2 linked regions of the Xenopus tropicalis genome follow. The protein of the gene in region 2 purifies or fractionates together with the protein of the main gene of each other region. This does not show direct contact. Links are inferred from orthologs where the notes say so. Each region holds a gene or a part of one and is shown on either strand. Other genes may lie near its edges.

Evidence for each region. Proteins that work in one complex are often made in the same cells at the same time.
Region 1: the proteins of gpc1 (region 2) and hadhb purify together in Homo sapiens (co-immunoprecipitation; 3 studies listed by BioGRID and IntAct, counting the BioPlex papers as one, with this or other methods). This does not show direct contact. The link is inferred for Xenopus tropicalis from reciprocal best matches to the Homo sapiens genes GPC1 and HADHB.

Annotation. Positions count from the first base shown.
Region 1 is NC_030681.2:154,410,556-154,414,347, forward strand, and holds the end of hadhb (trifunctional enzyme subunit beta, mitochondrial), read left to right. Parts: intron 1-107; coding exon 108-195; intron 196-1,059; coding exon 1,060-1,134; intron 1,135-1,842; coding exon 1,843-2,007; intron 2,008-2,858; coding exon 2,859-2,894; 3' UTR 2,895-3,288; downstream 3,289-3,792. UniProt on the Homo sapiens protein: Mitochondrial trifunctional enzyme catalyzes the last three of the four reactions of the mitochondrial beta-oxidation pathway.
Region 2 is NC_030681.2:127,177,272-127,180,790, forward strand, and holds part of gpc1 (glypican-1 precursor), read right to left. Parts: intron 3,395-3,519; coding exon 3,264-3,394; intron 2,806-3,263; coding exon 2,686-2,805; intron 774-2,685; coding exon 640-773; intron 28-639; coding exon 1-27. UniProt on the Homo sapiens protein: Cell surface proteoglycan that bears heparan sulfate. Binds, via the heparan sulfate side chains, alpha-4 (V) collagen and participates in Schwann cell myelination.

The sequences.
Region 1 (3,792 bases), about 27 Mb from region 2:
ACAGTGCACACAAACAAGCCAAGGCACACATACATGCTAGGCCTCATCAGCCAATGAATGAACACTGTGCTTAAACCCTATCACACTGACTGCCTTTCCCGTTCCAGCCCCACATACGCTACCCCCAAAGTACTGGAAAGGGCAGGACTGACTCTCGCTGACATTGATGCCTTTGAGTTCCATGAAGCATTTGCGGTAAGCAAGTCCATTGGTTCAAACTTGTAGCCAAAATTGGCAGATATTTAATTTGGCAACATACAGCGGTGGTCCAAATCAAGGAGATCCTTACATTTAACCCTTAGACCAGTAGTTGGATCATACTTGAACTGATCCACTGTGTGGTGCCCCCTGAGGAATGGAGTCATCTACACGCACCTCGGTCACCTTCATAATATTATTCAGGGTGGCACAAAACAGAGGGGTGGTGGTTACTGGTGGCAAACTTAGGGGGCTGTTCCTGCTGAATTGTGCTTAGTACAGGGGAATCCCTATGTGCCATAGTTTTATGGTATCTCTCTGTACAGGCTATGGGCAAACTTAGGGATTCCCCTGTACTAAGCACAATTCAGCAGGAACAGCCCCCTAAGTTTGCTCATAGCCTGTACAGAGAGATACCATAAAACTATGGCACATAGGGATTCCCCTGTACTAAGCACAATTCAGCAGGAACAGCCCCCTATGTGCCATAGTTTTATGGTATCTCTCTGTACAGGCTATGGGCAAACTTAGGGGACTATTCCTGCTGAATTGTGCTTAGTACAGGGGAATCCCTATGTGCCATAGTTTTATGGTATCTCTCTGTACAGGCTATGAGCAAACTTAGGGGGCTGTTCCTGCTGAATTGTGCTTAGTACAGGGGAATCCCTATGTGCCATAGTTTTATGGTATCTCTCTGTACAGGCTATGGGCAAACTTAGGGGGCTGTTCCTGCTGAATTGTGCTTAGTACAGGGGAATCCCTATGTGCCATAGTTTTTATGGTATCTCTCTGTACAGGCTATGAGCTATTTCTGCTGAATTTTGCTTAGTACTATATGTAACCAATCCCTTTGTCCCACAGGGCCAGATCCTGTCTAATCTGAAAGCCATGGATTCTGACTGGTTTGCACAGAATTACATGGGGCGAAAGGCAAAGGTAAGTAGTTCCATATTTGTTCCCTGTCAGTTCTGAGCTCAGTGAGATCCATCACAGAAAGTTATTTTATTTTATAATCAAAATACCCTCTTACCCTCCCCTTACTGATACCCTCTTACCCTCCCCTTACTGATGCCCTCTTACCCTCCCCTTACTGATGCCCTCTTACCCTCCCCTTACTGAGACCCACTTACCCTCCCCTTACTGAGACCCACTTACCCTCCCCTTACTGAGACCCACTTACCCTCCCCTTACTGAGACCCACTTACCCTCGCCTTACTGAGACCCACTTACCCTCCCCTTACTGAGACCCACTTACCCTCCCCTTACTGATGCCCTCTTACCCTCCCCTTACTGAGACCCACTTACCCTCCCCTTACTGAGACCCACTTACCCTCCCCTTACTGATGCCCTCTTACCCTCCCCTTACTGAGACCCACTTACCCTCCCCTTACTGAGACCCACTTACCCTCCCCTTACTGAGACCCACTTACCCTCGCCTTACTGAGACCCACTTACCCTCGCCTTACTGAGACCCACTTACCCTCCCCTTACTGAGACCCACTTACCCTCCCCTTACTGAGACCCACTTACCCTCCCCTTACTGATGCCCACTTACCCTCCCCTTACTGATGCCCTCTTACCCTCCCCTTACTGATGCCCTCTTACCCTCCCCTTACTGATACCCTCTTGGGGCATCTCTTACAGGTTGGAGCCCCTGCTCTGGACAAGTTTAACATGTGGGGGGGCTCGCTGTCGCTGGGACACCCGTTTGGAGCCACAGGTTGCCGGCTGGTCATGGCTGCTGCCCACAGGCTGAAGAAGGACGGAGGGCAATACGGCCTTGTGGCAGCGTGTGCGGCAGGGGGGCAGGTACAGTACAGCTAAAGCCATTTCCTATAGGAATCTGTGCTCTTATAAATAAGTAGATCCGGCCTTGCTGAATGGCCTTATGTAACAGAACTAGGGATGCACCGGATCCAGAAGGATTCAGATTCGCCCAGATCCATGTTCCAGGCCAAACTGAATCAAAATTCTTAAAATCACATGTCTTTTCATTACATAAAGTTAAAAAAAAGCTCTTTAAAGGGGCGGTTCACCTTTACGCTGTTAGTATGTCATAAAATTGGCTAACTCTTAGCAACTTTCCAATTGGTTCTTATTTATTTGTTATAGTTTTTTAATTATTTGCCGCCTACTTCAAACAGTTGTGGTGCCCGAGGCCGCCACCATTCGCGTCCTTCCCTGGATGTGCATTTATGCTGCCCTAGGCCCGGGCCTTTATGGCCTCCCCACAAATCTGGGCCAATCTGTGAGGCTCCAGTTTTATTGTTATTGTTACTTTTTGTAACTTTTTCTATTCAGCCCCTCCCCTATTCATATATCAGTCTCTCATCCAAACCACTCCCTGGTTGCTAAGGTACCTTGGACCCTAGCAACCAGATAGCTGAAAATAAAATAACTAAAAAACTACAAATTAAAAACAAAGACCAATTGCGAATTGTCTCAGAATATCCCTCTCTACATCATAATGAAAGTTAACCCAAAGGTGAACACCTTTGTTAGATACAACAAAGAATTTGGTTCCGTATTCGGCTGAATCTTTCAGGACGGATTCGGGGTTCAGCCGGATGCCAGTGCACCCCTAAACAAAATTGGACATTTTTATATTAATCTTCATTTTGTTGTGATCAATGTGTAACCAAACCCTCTCTGTGCTGCAGGGACACGGGATGATCGTGGAACTTTACCCCCAGTAACGTGACACAAACCCATCGGACTCGTTATGGCTGACGCCAGTTTCCTGCACTAATTAACTGAGAAGGTCCCCTCCCCGTCGCCAAGAATGTCGCAGCACTGTAAATATTTTCTAGTTGCCTTGTCTGTGATTGGAATGAGTAATTGGTTTTCCAGAGCACTTGGTACGTCCCAGTTTGGAACGACCCATTGTGCAAGCTTAGTGCTGAGCTCTCCAGCTCCTGGGCTGCTCGTCTGTTTCGATTTGGCAGAGCTGAATCCTGTTAGACTTTGTGTTTAATAGACTGTAAAGCACTTACACCCAATGTACAGTCAGTGGTAGAATCAGCTGCAGCCACTTTACCAACGGGGGCGTTGCTACCGGCCCTTCTGCCTTAATAAACAAGATCTTCACTACTTGTCTCTGTCTCATTATGAAATGGTAATCAAAGGGCAAAATGATTTTCCACCTCTTTCCCATTTCTAAATGACACTGTTACACAGCAAATAATTCCCTCTGCCATTTAACCTTTTATTCTTGAACCAACAAATGTATTTGTAGCTGTAATATTGGTGTGTAGGCGCCATCTCAGTGCCTTGTGCCTGAGTCTGAGCTTTCAGCCAGCGCTACACATTAGAACTGCTTTCAGCTAACCTATTGTTTCTCCTACTCCCATGTAACTGGAGGAGTCCCAAGCCGGACTTGGATTTCTTACTATTGAGTGCTATTCTGATACCTACTGGGAGCTGCTATCTTGCTCCCTTCCCATTGTTCTGCTGATCGGCTGCTGGGGGGGGGGGGGGATATCACTCCAACTTGCAGCGCAGCAGTAAAGTGAGACTGAAGCTTATCAGAGCACAGGTCACATGGCTGTGGCACCCTGGGAAATGAAGAATATGGCTAGCCCCATGGGAAAAACA
Region 2 (3,519 bases):
CCACTACCCATGGGTTCAGGCATATACCTAAAATAAGGCAAAAGCAAACATCACAAGAAAATCTGGGAGAACTGGACACTCGCAATGGGCTAGAAATCTTCTCTTCTCCTTTCTGGTGTGAATCGCAGGCAAAGACTAACGAATTGTAATTATGCTGATTATTCTTGATATGTCTTGTAATACCCTGTTGATGTCTAACTACTAAGGTGTATATGTATTGTACCTGACCTGCTTTAAATACCTCAACCATGTCTAACCTTCATCCCCTTACCCCCTACCCATGTTTAAAAGTTTCTAAACAAAAACCTGTAAAAAAAAATAATATAAAAAAAAGTGTACTTAACAGTTAACAATTCCCATTAAGAACTTCCAGTTTGTCAGCTACACTGAAGAGTGTGCAATTCGCCCAGCCCAGTGACCCATAGCAACCAAGCAGCAGTTATGAACTGAAATAACAATATCCTTCTATAGGAATTTACTTAGCAGGGAACAGGCATGGGCAAAGTGATCTGCAGGGCACCCAAAAGCTGCATCATTCTATTTTTTGAATCATTATACATACTGTATTATTATAAATATGGTTTACAAAATGTAATTGTAAAGTAAGATTAATGTAGTTACAGCCCCCAGATCTCTTACCTGCCCTTAGTTATTCCATTCCAGCACTTGTCCTCATTTCCCGGGCCAGCAGTCACCTTTTCTGTGCAAAATAAACTTGGTAGAGAAACCCAGTAATCTTGAATATCACTCAGTATTCCTTTCACATCTGAAATCTAACAACAAAACAAGAGTATAAGGAACGGGAGTTATTACTATTCCACTGTAAGATATATAGATATTAGAAGTCACCATGAGGAACCTTGGCAATGGCAGGGTACAAGCCATAGGCTGAGAGCTTCAATACAGGCTATGGGCTCTAAGGTGACTTCTAATATCTGCATATTTTACAACAAAGGAAATATTGTTTTTTATAATACATAAGTTATAACTTATTCACTGCAGTCAGCAGTTCTACTACCGGAGTCTCTAAAGTAGCAACCAATGGTAGGAACAGTGGCCAAACTATAGAGGCTAAGTACCCCATGGCTGTGCTGAGGATGCAGGGGATAATTTGGGTCAGTTGGGTACCAGTCAGGGGAGGAGGCAAGTAACTGTATTTATTTTTGTCTAAGAAACAGTAATATAAAAAGTGCTAGAGAATAAACAGTCTCTAACATGTTGGGGTCATGTCTAACTTAGTAAGCACTTTGCACCAGGAAATGGAACTTTATGCACAATAAATACAACAGAGCAGGTAATTCAGTAGAATAATAAGAATAACTGGTATGTCAATGACAATGAACAATTTGTATTTTTTTTATTGTTATTGGACCCATTCTAATTTAGATTAGAGCACCATGTAGCAAATCCTGGTGGAATTCATTGGCCTGAGAAGTGCAACAAAACTAGGACTGGCAAGTGGCTGCTACAAATGGCACTTGATTCAACTGTTATTTATAGGTCAGAAAGATCCCTGAGTTACAGAGGCTGGCGTATCTTCCCAGAATGCAATACTGTTGCTGCTTAATACATAGATTTTCTTGGAGAGATTGGAGTGCTTGGCAATTCAGCAGTCTCCTGTACTCCTAAGCTTGGTCATGTTACTAAGTTTTGTAAGAGAGGGGCCCTCGGTATTGTGTGCTTAATGGTACATACAATATCCCTCAAGTGCATTTTGTGTGTGGATGTTGCCTGTTCATTGTTTTCTGGGGTATTAATGACATTTCAGCATGCTGGGGCCTCCTATAGCCAACTGAATACATTATCTAACATATCACACTACATTTGGAATTTATGGAATCCCAGTATATGAGCATCATTTATTTTCATAACTGTAAGAGCCACACTTGGTCCATACAATTATGAGGATTGCTTATGCAGACAGAATATGGATTATGGATATGGATTATGGCTTCCCTGCAGTGCCAGCTGCCTCACTCCCCTGGCCCTACACTTACCCTTGAGTCTAGAAACCAAGGTCTGTTGCTGCCACATTTCTAATGTAACAACTTTACTATTTTAGACCTTAATAATAAGGGGCTGTTCTGACTTATTATATGGATACAATGCTCTGATTTCCCCGTATCAATATTTGTACAAGCAAATCAATTTCAGAATAAATGGACAGGGCCGTGCTGCGGTTATCAGGGAGCACCATGCAATGAATTTATTATCCCTCTGGCTGAATGACTGACAGAAGGCTGTCTGAAGAGTTACTGGACCATGAGGAAAGTGTCCCTTATGTCTTCTTGCTAATCTTTTTTTTATTGATTTTCCTGTGTGAACAGTAGGCGTATGGCTTAGGGATGCAATTGTGCTGCTAGGAACGTAGGGCAGGTATGAAATTGTGGGGATGCTGGGCCTTAATCTTGTCTGCTCTATCTCGCTCTGCCCTATGGATGCAGCTTTTCTACAGCAGAAGGACTGAATGTCAACACTCCATTCCATTCCATTGATTGGACCCCCTCCTAACTTCATCAACTTAAAAGCTGCACTATGCGACATGTATTGCATTCCAAATTCCTGACTGTACCATGACACTCCCCAAAAGAGAACCACATTATTACTCTTCTACCCAGAATAATATATATATATACACTATGTAGGAACACATGAAATAGAAATGGCAGGAGATTCAGCACAAACCAGGTTGTCCATTGTGGCAACAGCAGATTTATCTTCCTGAGTAGCCTTTCCTTTCCGTCTTCTCTCTTCAGATTTGGAACCTTTGTTGGTCTTTTTTGGAGTGCCGCAGATCTTAAACACCTGGTGGGAGAGAGCTCATTGTTCAGCTACATAGAGAAGTGAATATGGCTTTTGTGTAAATATAATCTCTATCATGATAATTCTCTAGTTTGTTACCCAGTAGTAACAGAAATCTTTGGGAAGGCCATGGTCAGTACCTGACAACGGGGAGGGTGAGGGAGTGTTGTGGGTGAGTGGTGATAGCGGCAAGGCAGGATGACTGGGACAAACAATATTTTAGTCATTGATCTCCTAACTGCCACCCAAAATGTCTAAATCCTCAACACCCCCCAACAGCCTTATGAGCTTTTTTTAGATAAGCCTTTCTCATCCCAGATGTAAAAGAGGAATGTATGGCCTCATCTCAGCCTAACCAGGCTACGGACCAACCTGCCTGGCAGAGTAGGAAACAGGGGTACCTTAATCAATATTTTACTTTGGCATATCTCCTGTTTCTTGCCCATCATACCCACTTGTACCTTGTTTGTTAGGAGTTCCTTGTTTTCCTGCATGTGGGTTATTGCCTCAGAGATCTTGGTGTGGATTGCACCTACAATATTCTCCACATTGGAAGCCCCATTAAACTTGTCTGCCACCAGCAGCAGTGACTCTGCAGAAACAGAAAGGGACAGGTGAATGAGATGAGAGGCCACAACATGGCTGCATTGTCCTGCAATCACACAATAGGCTTAATTATATTTCTGTTCAGCCACAAGGGCCAAGAATTCATGGAAA